Caenorhabditis elegans: one gene and its partners. The protein of the gene in region 1 purifies or fractionates together with the protein of each later gene. This does not show direct contact. Each region holds a gene or a part of one and is shown in the gene's direction. Other genes may lie near its edges. The genes, in order: ran-1, ran-4, xpo-2 and ran-5.

Region 1 (3,538 bases):
ATCGTTGATGTGTTCATCTGAGCAATAGCGATGCAGATGGCTTCTCCCTTCGTCGACATGATGACGATCTCCTTGCCAACCTCGATGTCATCGTCGTAACGAAGAATTCCGGGAATAAGGATCTTGGCTCCGTAGCAGATCGCGTTGATGCAACTGTCCTTGACAACAACTCTCTTGTGCTGGGTGAGAAGAGCCTCAAGTGGACGAACGATGTGTCTCATGTAGCTCTCGTCTTTCTGGGTGTCTAGGAGATACTGAGCATCGAGAACGTCGTGCATTGTGACCATATTCTCGTTTTCATCGCAGATTCCGGATCTGTTTCTGCGAAGCTCTTGCATTTGACCTCCGCATCCGAGGATGAGACCGAGATGCACACAAATTGTACGAACGTAGGTTCCCGACTCGCAGATGCAGCTGAAATTAAATGAAAACTAGAAATTAGATTTATTATAAGGATTCTTACTTGAAAATTCCCATCTGTTGAGCTGGATCATACTCGATGAACTTGTTCTCGTAAACGGTACGAATACGAAGCTGACGCTTGACAGCTGAGATCAGTGGTGGGCGTTGGAAGAGGGCTCCGGTGAGCTTCTCGAGGGCTTGCTTCACCTTGCGATCATCCTCAACTTCCTCGTGGAGCTTGAAGATGCAGATGTATTCCTTTCCAGCTCCTTGCTGCGACTTGGCCAAACGAGTGGTACGGTCGATACAAACGATCAGACATCCCGATACTTTTGGATCGAGTGTTCCACTGTGTCCGGTCTTCTCGCAACGAAGAATTCTCTTGATCCAGGACACGACTTCGTGAGAAGATGGGTTCGATGGTTTGTCAAGATTGAAGAATCCAGACGAAATGTAGTTCTTGATGTCACGCTTTAATGGTGATACTCCCTCGACGTGTGGTGTGTAGTGATTGGTGCGCACATTCAATTTGTCGTAATTCTGAAATAATAATTTAATTTTTAAATGAGATCACTCAACTACCTTGAGCAAAAGTGGCCACTGGGAAGCATCGAGCTTGGCGGTTTCGTTCGAGGATGGAAGTTGGAATGATCCCTTCTGTTGAGCCTCCTGAAATAATGAAAATGTACTCAATATTTAATAAATGGCTTGAAAATTAAAAACTAACAGCTAGATCGTCTCCCTCAAGCTTGGAACGCTTATCCTTCTTGCCCATGATGAGATCTTCGCTGAAAAAATAACATTATTGACAAAATCCAACAGTTCTGAAGCGATTAACAAGAGTTTAAAGATTAATAAGGTTCTAATGAACTCCAAATATGCCTCATAAGCTCGTGGAAAGTGTCAAGAAGCAGAAAACCTGCCAGAAAACTATCGATTTTTTGAAAAACGAGAGAAGAAACCCCCATTGGCAGTGTGCCAGACGAAAGAGACACAGGCTGCGTGTGTGCCCCTATGCCTCAACACACACGGGGTTCTACGCAAAAACATTTTCGAATTTTGTTCATTTTGGCGCGCAAATCTGGCTTGTTGCGCCATTTTCGAATACTTTTCTTGTCCCTGGCGCCAAGTTTTGTCATCTTTTTTCGGTTTTTTCATTCATTTTGATGCATTTGCGTTGTTTCCTCAGTTGGTTCACTGTAATTTTCGAGTTCTCTCTGATTTTGCTCCATGAGCAAGCTCTGATCACGAGATAATCTCTCTGCTCAGCTTCACGTCTCTTCTAAAACTTTTTTGCTCAATTCTAAATACACATTATCCGAACATTCTTGTTTTTGAAATATTTATCCACCGCTTCGTGATTTTCAACTGAAGCTTCGGTAATACGTAGAATTTCGCAATAATTCGCATTTTCGAAAAGTTTCGTGCTATTTTCCTCTTGACAATCTTTTTCCTTCGTATTTTATTCTCCTCATCTCCTCATTTCAGTCATGTCTGGTGGAGACGGCATCCCAACTTTCAAGCTTGTCCTTGTCGGAGATGGAGGAACCGGAAAGACTACCTTCGTTAAACGTCACTTGACTGGAGAGTTCGAGAAGAAGTATGTTGGTAAGTAATTCAGGAATTTGTTTCTCCCAGTTCAATAATTGTTTTCAGCCACTCTCGGAGTCGAAGTTCACCCACTTGTCTTCCACACCAATCGCGGACAAATTCGTTTCAACGTTTGGGACACCGCCGGACAGGAGAAATTTGGTGGTCTTCGTGACGGATACTACATCCAAGGTATGTTAAAATTCGAAATTATAACTTCTGAAATGCCCAATTTCCAGGACAATGCGCCATTATCATGTTCGATGTTACCGCTCGTGTCACCTACAAGAATGTCCCGAACTGGCATCGCGATTTGGCCAGAGTATGTGAAAACATTCCAATTGTTCTCTGCGGAAATAAGGTAATCACTAGCTGAAACTGGCCAATATATTCAATTACAAATTTCAGGTCGACGTCAAGGACCGTAAAGTGAAGGCCAAGACCATCACCTTCCACCGAAAGAAGAACCTCCAATACTACGACATCTCCGCAAAGTCGAACTATAACTTCGAAAAGCCATTCCTCTGGCTCGCCAGAAAGCTGCTCGGAGATCCAAACCTCGAGTTTGTCGCAATGCCAGCTTTGGCTCCTCCAGAGGTATTTTTAAATCCATGTTCTTTCATAAGCAATATTTTAATTTCCAGGTTCAAATGGACCCAGCCATGATTGCCGAATACGAAAAGGATCTGGACAACGCCGCCAAGGCTGATCTTCCAGATGACGACGATGATCTTTAAACACTTTAACCTTTCAAAATCCTTGTTTTCAAATCTCACAAAACCATCCCACCTAAATTTACCATTTTATACATTTCATATGCCAATTAATTTCTTAACTTAAAAATAATTTGCATACCCAACCGGTGTCTACAATTCAAAGTGCTGGCTTGGGTAGAAGAAGGATTGTACATTTGCTGTTTGATCGTTGTGCGAATGAATTGAAGAAATGGTTGGCTCATCACTCTCAATCTCCATGATTTATTTTATATTTTATGTTCGACTAAAAAATTTTAAACAACTTGTTGCAATAAATTGTAGCACCATTCGACAAGTGAATTATACCGGCAATAGGGAAAGTGAGCAAATGCAGAGGGGGATTTTTTTACACATATTTAAAGCACTTTTGATGATTCTGTGGGAGACGCGTCTTGAAAAGAATCGAGTCAGCACGGAATTGGGAGAATTTCAGAGGATTGTAGCCGTAGATTTTCGTGAACAATCGCATACATTCGTGGCGTTTCTCGAAATGTGTCCCTTCTTTATACAAGCTTTCCGTGCAAGTTGGACATCTGAAAATTGAAATTATTATTAGATTAGACTCATTTAAAATCTGGAAATTACTTGAGCGTCCATCGAGAAGTCGTTTTGATTGGCGGTTTTCGTGTGAGATGAGAAACTAAATAATTCATAGCAATGTCCTCGCAGTTTTTGATGCTATTCACATGTTCACGAATTTCAGCTGGCATTTCGTAGGTGTAAGCAGTCAAATAGTTCTGAAATTTTTAACGTTTTAGATTTTATACGGGTTTTACCCAGACGCGGGAATT
Region 2 (3,371 bases), on another chromosome or scaffold:
AAAACAGATGAAGGGTAGAAGAAGAAAGAGAATTCGTAAGTAAAGAGAATCGAGAAGAGAATAGAAACTGACATAAAAAGTTAGAAGGTTTTATGATTAACATATATCGCATGTTTCTTCGTGTATCGAGAACAGTTTTTTCTCTCTTTCAAATGGAATTTTGAGAGCGAGAAAATTGGCAAATATTATTATTTTTCGTACATGTGAATAGTTAAGAGCTCTCTCCTATAAGAGTATATTTAACTCGACAGGAGGGGTTACTGTACCCATGTACATATTTCTGCGTTGCGTGGCCGCGAATGTGAAAAAACTCGGCCACATTCATGAAAATTTTAATTAAAGGTTTAAATTAAATCACTCATATGGTCAAATTGGCGAACATCATAGTTAACATTTTCAAAATTTGCTATACGTTTTCGTATTCAGTGACAATTACGTTGCTTTTTCTACAAGTTTTATATTTGAACTACGTTCCAATAATTTGTATTTGAACGTTGTATGAACCTGCAAGATGCTCGGAATTACTAAAAATAAAATCTTTAGAAAATCTGGCAGTTTTCCAAAATGTGACTGAGATTTTTGAAAAAAGCTCACATATTCTTCTAAGGCGATTTCACAACTTTTACAGGCTAAAATGTTTTATCTTGGATGGGATTTTCCTTTTGAGAAAGATGTAATTAATACTGTCAAAAATCAAGACCAAAAACTTTAAAAAAATTTTGATTCTCGAACTATTACACAAGCTGGGTAAATCGACACATAGTTAGAGGTTCACATAAATTTTCTTCCATTTTTAGAAAAAAATTTGGGAGTTTTAAAGCTTGCTCAAATTCAGTCAGCAAAATGGTATACAATTTAGTTTTAAAATGTTTGGCTTACTTATTTTCCTTTCAATTACAAAAATCTACATTTGAAAACTAACTGAGTATATGTATCGCTCATAGAATTTTGATAATCATGTGAGAAGCAGTATGTAATGAGTTCGGAATTGCTTGCATTAATTTTGTCAATGAACTGTTACCAAGGTAACCATAAATGTGACTGGATGAGTTTGATGTAATGAGCTCTCGAAAATTGATATCATTTCAGTTCTGGATGATGTGAAAATATAATAGTAACGGTTCTTTATTTTCAGAAAACGTTGGCTTCAAAAGACTGGTCAGGTGCCGAAAAGGGAAGAGTGAAAGAACATACATATATGGTGTTCGCTAAGGCATGAGGATGCGCAGAGATGGAAAATTATTTCAAGTTTCTATAAATTACAGAAAATTGATTTTTGAAATGCCAACATTACGGAGTAAGAATAAAGTTTAACTTCTTATTCAATTGGTAGAATGGAAAGAAATAAAAAATGGAGCAACAACAAAAGAGGAACATAATTTCAGTGGTTTTGTCGTTATTTTGTTGCTTTTCCAGCTCTGTTTTCCATTTTGGCGAGCTCAAAGAGACATAAAAACAGAGCCAACCAACTCTTTTTTCTCTGCGCCTCTTCAACAAAAAGAGTGACGACAAGGCGATTTCTCTGCTCATAACGTGTTCTCTCTCGTTTACACACTCTCTCGCTTTCTGTGCAGTAATCGCGCTCCGCTGGATTATGCTACAAAATGTGCGCGCGATGCTGGCACCTTGCCATTTTATTCTGATTTTCCAATTTATTTAGGCATTTTTATTTTTTTTAATCGGTTTTCTCTTGTGAGGAATCAAATAATTCATAATTATTTTTAATTAAACTTCCCAAGAACGAACAAAACGCAGGAAGACAATACTGTTCTTTCGAAAACTGAAACATGAGGCCGAGGGTTTAAACTTTAAAAACTAAAAAAAAACAATTTGGTTGCTGTTTATTTTTCTCAATGCGAGCAAGACCACTGCTCATCTAACAACTAATTTTCAAAATTTATTGAGACAACCCATCTCGAGTAAATATATAATTCAATTGTTTCGAAAATTATCGTATTCTTCGTTGCTTTTTCCTACCTATCTTATTTATTTTTACTCTTTTTCAATTATTTTTCCCAATTTGTCGTTTTTAAAGGAATGAGCTTCAATCCTGATTACGAAAGTGTTGCAAAGGCCTTCATTCAACATTACTACTCAAAGTTCGATGTTGGCGATGGAATGAGTCGTGCTCAAGGTATTTCGTCTGAAAAAAACAATAAACTTAGTGAATTTCAGGACTCTCCGATTTGTACGACCCAGAAAACTCTTACATGACTTTTGAAGGACAGCAAGCGAAAGGCCGTGACGGAATTCTCCAAAAGTTCACGGTTTGTGCAAAAGTACGAGAGTTCAATAACGAAACACTTTTAGACTCTCGGATTCACAAAAATTCAACGAGCGATCACTGTGATTGACTCTCAGCCTCTGTATGATGGATCAATTCAAGTGATGGTTCTTGGTCAGCTCAAGGTAAGTAGAAGTAGTTTTCAAAAAAACCGAAAAAAAATTATTCAGACCGACGAAGATCCAATCAATCCCTTCTCGCAAGTCTTTATTCTCCGTCCAAACAATCAGGGTTCCTACTTCATCGGAAACGAGATCTTCCGACTTGACTTGCACAACAATTAGATATCAATTCGTCCACTTTCCTATCAAAATGTGTCCCCGTATTGAACAATTTTTCAAGAACTGAATTTTCACCAAATTGCTTAAATATCTATTTCAACCCGGCTTTTTCCATGTTTCTAAATCGGTTTCTTTCCCCACACAGTTTCGTGTCGTTTTACTATTTCGCACAATTTCAAACTTCTAGTTTGCAAATCGGTTCAAACTAAAGAATGAAGTTTTTATCATTTTCTTTCCGAGATATCGAGAAAATTTTGTTTAATTCGTTATTATTAGTGGTTTTTCAACCTTTACAATACCTTTGACTTTTTCAGCAATGACCTCAAAAATATAAAAATTAAATACAGATGGTGAAACAAGCAACAAAAGGGCAGAAAGAGATCTATGAGGAGAATCAGAAGACTGTCACCACTTATAGTGTGGCTAGCACGATTAGCATGGTAAACATTTGTAATTTCACATTTCAACGATTTTTTAAAAATTGTTTTAGGCAATCTACTATTCATCGTGTATGTTTCTGAGCCAGTGCTCTTCCACCGATTATGTATTTTTTGCTGTCTCAGCGCTCGTGCAGATCTTTGCTATTCTTTTCATGAAATCTTTAGCTAGTAAGTTTGTCTTACCCATTAATTTTTTGTATTAATCTGAAATTATGATTTTAGAAGCAAAGCTTGACGATAAAGGACATGTTTTGGATGCTGGTGCCGATTTGAACGATCCAGAAGCATTCGGAGAATACTGTAAAGACGCCATTATTCTGACAGTCATTATTCAAGTTAGTTTTTGCAAAAAAAAAGTGTGGGAAA
Region 3 (7,394 bases), on another chromosome or scaffold:
TCGAGAGTTTCCAGACGTTCTTTTTCTTTCAGAGCTTCTTCTTCTTCGGATAGCTTACGATCTGCTGGGGTGGCACGAGCGTCGGCTTCGGTTTTCAAGGTGATTGTCTGGAAAAATAATAATTTTTGGATAAAAAATGGAATAAAACCTATTTTTCTTGATTTTTTAGGCGAAGAAACAAAAAAAAAGCCTTTTTCTATCATTTTTTAAACAAAAAAATTGGCTTTTTCTTAATTTTTTTGTCGAAAAATAGTTATTTTAAATTGTTTTATTTTGTAAAAAAACGACTTTTTTAAAGTTATTTTTCGGCGAAAAATTTATTTTTTTAAATTAAAAATTGCCTTTTTCGTCATTTTTGTCAAAAGAAAAACCGACTTTTCTCGAATTTTTGTCAAAAAAATTGACTTTTTAATGATTTTTCGTCAAAAAAATTCTCAGTTCAGCTCAATTTCTTTCGCGATAAGAAGTTAAATGTTTTATTTTTCACTTCAAATTGCACAAATTCCGAAATAATTTTACAGTGTTTTCTCTGATTACAAAGCTAAAACTTGGATTTCTTCAACTTTTACAGCAAAATTAATGAAAATTTCCAATTTCCATAGCAAAAATGGTTAAAAATTAGCATTTTCAGATCAAGTTTTTTGGGTTTTAGGTTTTCCACTAAAAAATTGTGAAAAAAATCGATTTTCACTCTAAATTTATAATTATCTTTTATCTTAAAAATTTGGAGAAAACCGGGATGTTTCCCGTACCAATTTGTCGTAATCATCTTTTTCCAGCGGCTGGCGCCCGGTCGGCCTAAATGAAGCCTTCATTTTGCCCATCAAAGCCTGATACTTGGAATCCAACGACTCTGTCATCAGCTCGAGCTCATCCTTCTGCTGTTGCTTCTCGTGACGCGCCAGCTTCGTTTTCGCAATCAAATTCGAAATCATATCCTCTCGGCTGATTTTTTCGCGGACGTGCTCCTCGGCGGTCTTCTCTCCACCACCGAAATGAGCCACTTTTACCATATTTGAGCCCAAATTTCCCGGCTCTTCATCGTCATCCGAGTCGGAAATCATCGATTTGTCGTATTTTTCAATGTCCGAGAGCGCTTTTCCCTTGTGAGTAAGTACTGAAATTTACTTTATTAAAATTTTTCTCAATTTATTTCGGAATAAACCTTCTTCCTCCTCATCTCCATCATCTGTCAAGTTGAATTTCGATGCTCTTTTATAATTTTTGACTCTTTCCTCTGTGAATCTCATCGCGCCCTTCTCCTCCTCGCTTTTTCCGTCCTTTTCGCCGAGCCGTTTGTCGACAATTTTGCTAATCTTATTTTTCCGGTCATATTCTACGCCTAGCGTCTGTTCACGTTGCTCGTGAGCTCGTTTTCGTGACGCAGTCGGTGCTCCAACTTGTGCGCCCTTTTTCCGGCCGAGAATCTGCGAGAAAATCGATTTTTTCTTCAAAACTCTGAAAAACTCACGTCATGCTTGGATTTGTTGAATTTTAGCTCGAATGGATTGGTTTTTCGTTGCTTTTGCTTTTTATCAACACCCATGTTTGCTGAAAATGCGAAAAATTAGGGGGGAAACAGAGAAAAAACCAGGGGTATCCAGGAAAATTTAAGAATAAAAATTGGGAAGTTTGCGCGTCAAGTCGTGCGCATTGTACGCAACGACGCCTTTATTTTGCAAAGTTTTGAAAATTGAAATGTTTTAATTTATTTTTTTATGCACGTTTTGCTGAAAAAGTGGAAAATTTGAAGAAAATCAAGGGAAAACTAGGAAAAATCAGTAAAAATCAGTGAAAACAGAGAACATAATGAAAAAAATTTGCGCGTCGGGTCGGGTGCGCTGTACGCAAACACTTCACACTTTTGAAATTTTTTTTTTATTTTTGCGAATTTTTGCGAGTTTATTCCCCGCGGGCCTGCGAAAAATTGCGTAAAACTTTAATATTTTGACCGGAAATTTTAGATTTCAAGTTTTAAGCTAAACTATCTTTGTCCTTTCACCTAATTCTTCCCTATTTCACCCCCAAAACAGCTATTTTTCCCTATTTTCAGATGGAGCAAATCGGAGCAGCTCTCCAGCAGACTCTGGAGCCGGATGCTGCGATTCGCAAGCGTGGAGAAGAAGCGCTCCGCTCGCTGCAATCAAATCCAGGCTATATCATTCAAATTCTTCAACTGGTGGTCAACGAACAGCAACAAATTGCTCCGCAGATCCGAATCGCCGCGGCTGTCGCTTTGAAAAATTTTGTGAAGAGAAATTGGGTTGGAAAATTTGAATAAATGCGTGAATTTTATATTTAAATTGTTTCAGGGCCCGGCACCAGAGGTAGAAATGGGCCAGGAAGACGAGGAGCAGTTCAGAAGCATGCTTCTCGAAGCGATGTTCAATACAAAATCAAATGTTCAGGAAATCCTGTCCAATGCTCTGTATCTCATCGCTCAGAGAGATTTTCCCGAAAAATGGCCAGATTTGGTTCCATATTTGTCGAAATTCCTGAACGGAGCGGATCTCAATCACCTGGTGGCCTCGCTGGCGTCGATGGAGCAGATTTTCCGCAAATTCCGATTCGAATCCAAGTCAGCAGAGCTTTGGAAAGAGCTGAAGAAGTGTCTACTGAGCGTGAGTTGCGTTTTGGCTCAAAATTTGGCTAATTTCAGCTAAAATCCCCAATTTTGGCCACTTTTTTACGTCGCAGCCGTCGGAAGTTGAATTTTTGTCCGCTTTGACCCTAAAAAATGACCAAAATTAGACATTTAAGCTAGCTAAAGCTGGCCTTGTTTTCCGAAAAATCGTGAAAAATTCAACATTTTATGATTTTTTAGTCAAAAATTTTAACTAAAGCAAAAATGAGGAATTTTTGGCGAAAATTGATAATTTTCCTATAAAAATGGACAAATTTTCAAAATTTTTGAGCCAAAAAATTGAAGAAATCTGAATGTCAGTCTCGAATTTGGACCGAAAAACTGTTTTCTCCCCAGATTTTTCAGTTACAAATAAAAAGAACCGATTTTTCAGACCCAAGAGCCTCTAACTCTGTTGCTACGGAACATGATGGAGGTGGGACAGCGGAAGGATCAACTCGGAGCCGACGAGATCGCCCAATGGCTCCGAGTCTTACTTCTCATTGCAAAAGTCTACCATTCTCTGTGCTCACAGGAGATTCCGGAATACTTCGAGGATCATCTCAAGGACTGGATGCCACACTTCTTGCATCTCGTGCAAATCGACGCGCCGACGCAGACCTCCAACTCGGGAGAACCTACAACTCTGGACGAGCTTAAGCACGAGATCTGTGAGATCTTCACGCTCTACTCGCAACGCTACGAGGAGGAGATCTCCGAGTTCGTGCCCGACATCATCCTTGCCGTCTGGAATCTGCTCAAGTCTACCGGCCCCGACACTCGATACGATACGATGGTGTGCGCCGCGCTGGAATTTCTGTCGATGGTCAGCCAGCGACAGTACTACGAGGGACACTTCACTGGTGAAGGCGTTCTGAAGACTCTCGCCGAGAACGTGTGCGTTCAGAACCTTCTGCTTCGTCAACAGGATATGGAACTGTTCGAGGATGAGCCACTGGATTATATGAAGCGAGACATCGAGGGTACCGATGTAGGAACTCGACGCCGTGGAGCCATCGATCTTGCGCGAGGTCTCTGCCGAAGATTCGAGGCGCAAATGCTTCCATGTCTGGGGGAGATCGTGCAGAACCTGCTGGGAAGTGGTGATTGGATCAAGATCGACATTGTCTACTCGCTGATCACGGCGATCGCGGTGAAGACGGAGACTGCTAAGAGTGGAGTAACGGCGACGAACCCGCTGGTGGACATCAACGACTTCTTCATCACACAAGTGGCCACACATCTCAACGCCGATGTCAATCAAACTCCGATCCTTAAAGCTGATGCACTGAAGTTTGCGGTCACTTTCAGGAAACAGCTGGCTCCAGAGCACCTTATGACTGCGATCAAGTCGGCGGACGCTCTTCTCAGCTCGAATACTCCGATTCTGCACAAGTACGCAGCTTACGCTATTGAAAAGATCCTTCTCGCTGATTCCAACAAAATCTTCTCGGCTCAAAATCTTCCAGTCTCCTCGATCCTTCAGAACCTTGTCACCGCGTTCGACAAGGATGCCAAAGCGCAAAACTCGCCGTATCTGATCAAGGCGATTTTGAGGATCATTGTGATTCTCGATGACGACACGATTCGGCATGCGGACGCGATTGCGGTCAAGCTCGCACAGTTGGTCGAGTCGGCGACGAAAAATCCGGCGGATTCGGTGCACACGCACTTTTTGTTTGAGACGATTTGTGTGTTGATCACCAAGGTAAGGAGTAGTTTGAGAGAAAAATACCACTCTAAACTCCGCCCATTTTTCCGTGCCGCACTTTGGTCTCAAATTTTTTTTCATAAATTGGAACATAACTTGTCAAATTTTCTGAAATTTTTCTGCAAAAAAAAATTCGCTGAAACTCGGAAATTGGAATAGACATCGATAATTTAACTTTCGATCTGAAAATTTTCGGAAAAATTGGCAATTTTGCTGGAAAACGCAAAAATTTACAAAAAACCAACACTTTTCCGTTTTCGTGTTTTCAAAAAATATACCTTTTTTTAATTTTTCGGAAAATCGAAAAAATTCAATTTTTCTGATAAGAAACCTAAAAACTGAAAAATTTTAGTTTTTAATTATTTTTGTCGAAACAAACCCCGAAAAATTGAACGATTTTCACTGAAAAAAAAATCAAAACTTTTTGTTTTTCAATTTTTCGATGTTTTTTTCCGAAAAAATCGAAAAGAATCTTCTTTTTTTAAAGAAGAAATCGATAATTTTTTTCTGAAAAAAAAAAATTAAAAATTGCAAAATCGAAACATTTGTCTGCTTTTTCGTGTTTTCCTTTTTGTGATTTTTTTTCTTATTCAAAAAAAAAGTGATAGCAATTTTAAGAACATTTTATATTTTTTAACGAATTTCCTGTTCCAGACCCGAACAATCGGCGCCTCACTGGATGCTCAACTCCTTCCACTGATCGAAGTGATCTTCCGCGAGGATTTGGAAGATCTCATCCCATATGCTCTCCAAATCACGGGAGTTCTCGTCTCCTCATGTATCGCTAGAAACTCATCGATCGATCAATTCTCACCGTTCCTTCCGTTTCTGCTATCCGAACGTCTTTGGGCGAGATCAGCGAATGTTCCAGCGGCACTTTCGGTTCTCGAAGTGATCCTTTCCGTGAATGCTCAGCGAGTCGTCTCGGAGAATTCTGGGTTGATCTTGAGCCATTTGGCGCGGCTTTTGGGCTCGAAAACCTTGGATCAATACGGTTTCCAGTTGGCGGCGACGATTCTTCCGTCGATTGAGCACTTCGAGGGTTCCGCGATGACATTTGTGCTCAATACAATGTTTCGAAGAGTTCAATCGTCGAAGACACCCAAGTTTATGAAGCTATTCATCGTGTTCTTGTGTCGATTTACGATCGCCCGGAGTGCACAGGATCTTGTTCAATCGTGTGAGAATATTCAGACTGGCATGTTCGGAATGCTCATCGAGAAGGTCGTATGCATTGATTTGCCAGGTCTGAAACAAACGACAACGGGGCCTGAGAAACGGATTATTGCCATTGGAATGGGCAATTTGCTAGCCGATGTCACGCAGCAGCTTGTGTTAGTAATGAAAATTTAGGCTTTTTTCCAGAAAAAATATCGAAAAACGAAAATTTTCGATTTTTTATATTTTTTTCAAAGGAAATTGAAAATCACATATTTTCGATTCAGTTTTTTTTTCTCCGATTTTTTTTTTAAACTTTAATACGGGTTTAAAAAAAATAGAAAGTTACAATTTTTAAATATTTCAGAAAAAAAAACGAAAATTTTCTATTTTTTAAAGATTTTTTTGGAAAAAATTGAAAAATTGCAAATTTTCGGTTTTTTTCCAGAGAAAAGTTAAAAATCACATATCAAAAAAAAATTTGAAAAACACAAATTTAAAAAAATAAAATTGAAATTTTGTCGATTTCTTCGTTTTTTTTCCTGACAAAATCTGGAATTTTCAGTTTTTTGAAAAATCGACAATTACCGACTTTTCCCTATTTTTTCAAAAAAACAAAATCGAAAACTGCCGATTTTTCAACAAAAAAATTAAATCAAAAATGAAGATTTTAATTTTTTTTTCGGTTTTTTCTCAAAAAAAAAACAATTAACGACAATTAACAAAAACAAAATTACAAATAAAATCATTTTAAATTCAATTTCTCATATAAATTTTTTTTGCAGTGGTCAATACGGAATTCTGTCATACGAGGTGGCAATGCTGCTGGAAGCTGCTTCAGCCTCCGATCGAGCCGTCCTATCACCAGAAGAAGAGCAAGCTTCAATGTACAACGCCGAGGGAGAATTTGTGAACCCATTCTGTCGTCTGAGTTACGCTCCCAAGCAACCGCCCGTCGCCGCCAACATCGCCAACCACAAGGCCTACTTTGCGCAGGCCGTTCTTGTCCGTGGACCCGGAAATTGTCCAGAGACACTTCGTTCTGTACCGCCCGAGATTGTCACCTATTTGCAGTCTATTCAGCAATAATTTCCCCGATATTTATATTTTTTCAATTGTTTATTATCTTTTTTTTTCTCTGCTGCTGCCCGATTACTCGCTCTTTCTCTCTAAAAAAAATCCCCCGTTGTTAACTTTTTTGTCTTAAATTTCAAATTTCTCACTTTCCATCTCTGATTAGTTTACGGTTGTCGAAGCCCCGCTTCTTCTTCTTCTTATCTCACATCTGCCCCAGTTTTTTCCTCTTCAAATTGCCTTATTTAATTGTTTTTCACGACATTTTTGCTGTCAAATACACAGAAATTCACCTCGATTTTGAGTGTAAGATGTGGTGCCTGAAGGAGTGACGCGCAAAATATCTCGTAGCGAAAACTACAGTAATTCTTTAAATGAATACTGTAGCGATTGTATGTCGATTTACGGAAATAATTTATAATTTAGTAATCGATGACGCACACAAAAAACAAAAAAAATAATTTTAAAAATCGAACCCGTAAATCGACACCAGCGCTACAGTAGTCATTTAAAGGGTTACTGTAGTTTTCGCTACGAGATATTTCGCGTTCTCAGAATTCAAATAGTGTTTCCGTAATATCATGGCTCCTTTCCACGGGGAGGCAAAGCTAACGTGGCCGCGAGAGTGCGCCGGCTAGCCACCGCCTCCTATGGTTAAGAATTTTGATCGAATAAACATTTTTAATTTGACTTATATGCTTATTTTTCTTCGTTTTTTCTTATTTTTTCTTGTTTTTTCTTGTTACTACGTGGAATAAGCATAATGTTTTCAGCTAATCTACGCAAACCGCTTCGAAATTCGATGGATTAAACCGGACAAAGGCAAAA
Region 4 (4,131 bases), on another chromosome or scaffold:
AACAAACAGCGAGTCAGGGACATAAGAAAGAGATTAGAGACGCAGACGTCACTATTTCGCTTTGACCCCTCCGTTATTTAACTGTCATTGTTTAACAGGTAATGAGAAAAGTGTTTATGAAGGTGAAAAATTGTTGGCAAAGTATTTGACAAAAATATACATCATACGGTTTTAATAAATTATGAATGATTTTTAAACCCTTTTGATTGAAAAGTAACTAGTTGAGCATTGTATGATCTTCGAAGATATTCCTTCGTTGCTCCTCGACCTTCTTCATCCAACGATTCTGTTCGGCCTCGACGCGTCCGAGAACATCTGAAGAAAATACTTTTTTAGTAAAAACTATAAAATCTTCAAATGGAGCACTTACTACTTCTCGCACGTGTGGTTCCTTGTGTATCCATTGAATTACTTGCTGAAGATGATTCATCGTCAGTTGATGGAGCAGCAGCAAAGATATTATCCTCCATTTCATCATTATGTTGTTGATAACTGATCGATAATCGTTTCTTCCGGAGCATTGGATCCAGGCACATAAGGAATACCATGTATCCCGTTAAAACAGCGATCACACAGATTACAAATATTACAACTACTTTTAAGAGCACAGTGTTTCGTGACTCATAACGGCAGTCGCAATTTGCAAGAAATGCATCCATATGGGTCTCGTCAACGAAGTTACTGACTTGATCTTTCACAATGTTGCTTGGCTTGCTGAAATGTTTGAAAAATTATATTTCTTTGTCGAATTTAAGGTTTATTTGTGTAAATGATGAATTTGAGCTGTTGAAAAAAATTAAAAAAATAAGTGTTGAAAATGTTTTAAAACTGATCAACATGTTTTTTTGATGAAATGGAAGGAAAATAAAGACTTAGAAATTCGAGATTTCATGGTTATGATTTATTTTTATTCGAATTTTTACAACGATGTAGATTCTCAGCAATAGAAAATAAAAATAATTGTTTTTCTAAATCATATTTGTGGTTTTCTGAAAGAGAAAAAATTAAAACTGTGACTAAAGTTCCCACAAAAATTTCTCAAATTTTAACGTTTATAAAACAGTCGGAAACGTTCAAATTTCGATGAAAAAAAGAAATTCAAATTTGCAATTGCTTTGAGCGAAATAATACCATAAAGGTGGGAGAATTTCATAACTCTGCCAAGTTATTTTTGATGTGGATTTTTAGCAAAAAATATCAGAGTGACTAGGAGATATTTACATATTCGGATTTGATATTTTATATTTTCTATTAAAACAATTCAGATTTAAAATTAAAAAAACTCACCAATGGCTCGGTTCGATGTTAGTTTTTGTATAAAATCGTCTCCTCAATCCTTCTGTTTTTTCAGTTGTATTTTCAGCCAAGTCGAGAAATTTTAAAAGACTCGGACAAATGCATCGACATCGTGTATCTTCGAAGTTAGCCTGAAAATATTTATTAAATTATATCTTTATAAAAGTAGTTATGAAACAAACCTCAGTCCCTGCTTGGGATAATGCGGGAAGAAACAGTAAAGCAATAAATAAATATATCATTAAATCTGAAAAAATTACGGAAGTTGGACTGTATTTTTTTTTATTTTTGCAAGAAAATAAAAAATGCTCTGAAAAATAGAATACAAGTAAAACAAGAAGTGCGCCAGTGCAACTTACTGGCGCTTTTCGCGATGGCTGACGCATTCTTCGTTTCACTTTTATGATGTTCACAACGAAAATCGAAGAAATAAAAACTTGCACTTATTTTTGTCTTAAATTTCAATTTTTCTTCTGCTTGTTGAGTAATTTTTCAGTTCTCAGTCTAAATTACTTGCTAATTATCTTCATTTCAGTCTGCATGAATACTAATAATCGATTTTTCGCATTTTTTTTGCAATTTCTATCCGGTATTTGTCTTTTTTAATTCATTCGTTACTATTTTCAGTCATGTCAAAAGGTTTTGCTTTCAAACCGTCTGCTTTAGCTGCCAAGGCAGATAAACTGTGGTCAGATAGTAAGTTTTCAATTTTGTGTTATGTTATCTAAGTCACGTGAATTTGCAGGCAAAACAGAATACACAGCAACTCATTCAACAATCAACCACGTTCATTTGGAAAAGAAATCGCTGGGCGATATTATTCCGAAATCAGCAGATGCGCCTGTTGCAAATGAAAAAGTTCGTTGAAACACAATGAGTCAAAAAATTCGTTTTCTTCTAATTATAGGAAGTCGAAGAGGCTCCACAAGCATTTGTTTTTGGCTCCAAAATATCAGATCGTGTTGTGAACAAAGAAGGTGATTCAACAAAGCCGGGTGGTTCAGACGAAAAGACCATGACAGCAACTGAGCTCTTCCAAAATGCAGTTAAAAAAGATGACGATGTAATCTATATTTCGAATCAATATTTCTATTCATAATGTTAATTTCAGAAAAATGGAGCCAAAAACTTCAGAAAGGAAGCTGAACAAGAAGCGGAGAGAGCAAAGGAAGCCGAAAAGCAGCATGCCGGAACGAGTTCAGTCGAAATCACCACCGGGGAAGAGAACGATACTAATATTTTCCAAGTGAGGCAGTATTCATTAAAACATAATTTTTATTTATTTGTCTTTAGGCTCCTTGCAAAATTTGGGCGTTTGATAAATTGAAAAATGCCTACTCTGAAAAGGGTGTCTGCAATCTCAGGATCAACAAACGAGTCGAGAACGGACTGACGCACCACCGAATTGGTAAATACTGATAGTTAGAGTTTATTGTATTCAAAATTATTTTCAGTGGCAAGAACATCTTCCGGTACTCTTCGTGTCATCATAAATTCCAAAATTTTCTCTGATATGCTTTTGGAGCGGGTCGACAAGAGAATTCGAGTGAGCTTTAATGTTATATGAATATATGTTTTATTGTTACTGTTTACAGATTTCCGCAATGGGACCAGAGATCAGCGGTGTTCAGATTTTCCTTCTAAAAATCGGATTCACCAAAACTGAGACGATCCCCGATTCGGATATATTCTACAATATTATGAGCGACCTGCTGAAATTGGAGAAGGGAGAGAATAGTCGGAAGAGGAAAGCGGATTGTGATCTGAACGCTTCAACTGTTAAAATCAAGGATGGAAAGGAAGAAGAAGAAGGTGATCAAGATCAAGTTGATGAAGGATTTGTCATTGTAAACAAGCCAACAGAAGATGAGGTGAAAGAAGAAAAACCAGCTGTTACAGCTGCCGAAGAATCTGCATCCAGCTCAACTCCTTCCGAATAACCATATCAGTCATTGCTTCTTTCAACTTCCCCTGTGCTCTTTTTTCTCCTTCCAATCCCCACAAAAATGGTCTCCAACTTTCACCCAACTCAAATCATTTCCCCTTAAGTCTAATTTCTTTATTGCTAAAAATTTCTTCTAGATTTCTACCAATCTGGCCTAACTTTCCAATTTCGTTTTATTCTTATATATCCCGTTTTATGTGTTTGTCGAATATATTTGGTTTGTGAAAAAGAGAAGAGTTTGCAATAAAAAGCAGAAATACAATCAAGAAGACACTTAGACAATGGCGTTTCGGTTATCAGTGGCGCTCTTACTGAAGGAGGAGGAGAGCGAGATAACGATCGTTGTGGGGTGATCGATTCAGAATTCAATTGGCAACACCATGATCATTTATCACCTTGTCAATTCTGTAGCATTGTTTCAGTAGGAGAAGATTTTTTTGTAGTTAAATATCAATTTTGAGTATAACAAACGCGATTTTTGCACCTAAAATACGGTAGCCGGTCTCGTCACGACAATTTTTAATACTTAAAAAAAAATTGTATCAATTTATTTATAAACTCTAAAATAACACCGAAACACTTCAATTTTTATAAATCTAGAGGAAAAATCGATTCCGCATCAATGAGAGTTTGAAGTTACAGTACTCCTTAAAGGTGCACACACCTTCTTGCATTTAATAAAAAGTTGTCGCGTTGAGACCCGGTACCGGTTTTTTGGCGTCTTTGTAATAAACCCCTTTGAATTTAGTTTTGAAGTTTAAACTTTGAAGTTCAAAGTTTGAAATTATCCCATAATATCTAACCACGCGTCGGGCGTTTAATATCATAAAATCAAAAGTCGAATTTTTTTTATCTTATCAACAATTGGAGTACACGTGTACCCACGATAT

What was found.
Region 2: the proteins of ran-1 (region 1) and ran-4 fractionate together in Caenorhabditis elegans (co-fractionation; one large-scale study listed by BioGRID). This does not show direct contact.
Region 3: the proteins of ran-1 (region 1) and xpo-2 fractionate together in Caenorhabditis elegans (co-fractionation; one large-scale study listed by BioGRID). This does not show direct contact.
Region 4: the proteins of ran-1 (region 1) and ran-5 fractionate together in Caenorhabditis elegans (co-fractionation; one large-scale study listed by BioGRID). This does not show direct contact.

What each region holds. Positions count from the first base shown.
Region 1 is NC_003281.10:10,746,081-10,749,618, reverse strand, and holds ran-1 (GTP-binding nuclear protein ran-1), read left to right. Parts: upstream 1-1,890; 5' UTR 1,891-1,892; coding exon 1,893-2,010; intron 2,011-2,058; coding exon 2,059-2,184; intron 2,185-2,231; coding exon 2,232-2,353; intron 2,354-2,400; coding exon 2,401-2,589; intron 2,590-2,636; coding exon 2,637-2,729; 3' UTR 2,730-3,038; downstream 3,039-3,538. Other genes in the region: dkc-1 (Putative H/ACA ribonucleoprotein complex subunit 4), read right to left, coding at 1-414, 464-942, 985-1,071, 1,130-1,177; rib-2 (Exostosin-like-3 homolog), read right to left, coding at 3,094-3,280, 3,333-3,484. UniProt on the Caenorhabditis elegans protein: Ran GTPase system comprises ran-1, ran-2 and ran-3 and is essential in nucleocytoplasmic transport. Ran-1 is a GTP-binding protein that mediates the interaction between mitotic chromosomes and kinetochore microtubules.
Region 2 is NC_003279.8:8,589,180-8,592,550, forward strand, and holds ran-4 (putative nuclear transport factor 2), read left to right. Parts: upstream 1-2,035; 5' UTR 2,036-2,037; coding exon 2,038-2,134; intron 2,135-2,175; coding exon 2,176-2,267; intron 2,268-2,310; coding exon 2,311-2,409; intron 2,410-2,454; coding exon 2,455-2,568; 3' UTR 2,569-2,799; downstream 2,800-3,371. Other genes in the region: tmem-208 (Transmembrane protein 208), read left to right, coding at 2,913-3,005, 3,056-3,173, 3,228-3,340. UniProt on the Caenorhabditis elegans protein: Facilitates protein transport into the nucleus. Could be part of a multicomponent system of cytosolic factors that assemble at the pore complex during nuclear import.
Region 3 is NC_003279.8:318,012-325,405, reverse strand, and holds xpo-2 (Exportin-2), read left to right. Parts: upstream 1-2,053; coding exon 2,054-2,263; intron 2,264-2,312; coding exon 2,313-2,621; intron 2,622-3,017; coding exon 3,018-4,331; intron 4,332-4,988; coding exon 4,989-5,668; intron 5,669-6,277; coding exon 6,278-6,581; 3' UTR 6,582-6,857; downstream 6,858-7,394. Other genes in the region: nol-14 (Nucleolar protein 14), read right to left, coding at 1-107, 753-1,117, 1,166-1,427, 1,472-1,546.
Region 4 is NC_003280.10:6,046,186-6,050,316, forward strand, and holds ran-5 (RanBD1 domain-containing protein), read left to right. Parts: upstream 1-1,923; 5' UTR 1,924-1,925; coding exon 1,926-1,992; intron 1,993-2,041; coding exon 2,042-2,154; intron 2,155-2,203; coding exon 2,204-2,359; intron 2,360-2,407; coding exon 2,408-2,542; intron 2,543-2,589; coding exon 2,590-2,704; intron 2,705-2,750; coding exon 2,751-2,842; intron 2,843-2,891; coding exon 2,892-3,236; 3' UTR 3,237-3,501; downstream 3,502-4,131. Other genes in the region: R12C12.6 (Transmembrane protein 9), read right to left, coding at 218-315, 371-714, 1,288-1,427, 1,479-1,682.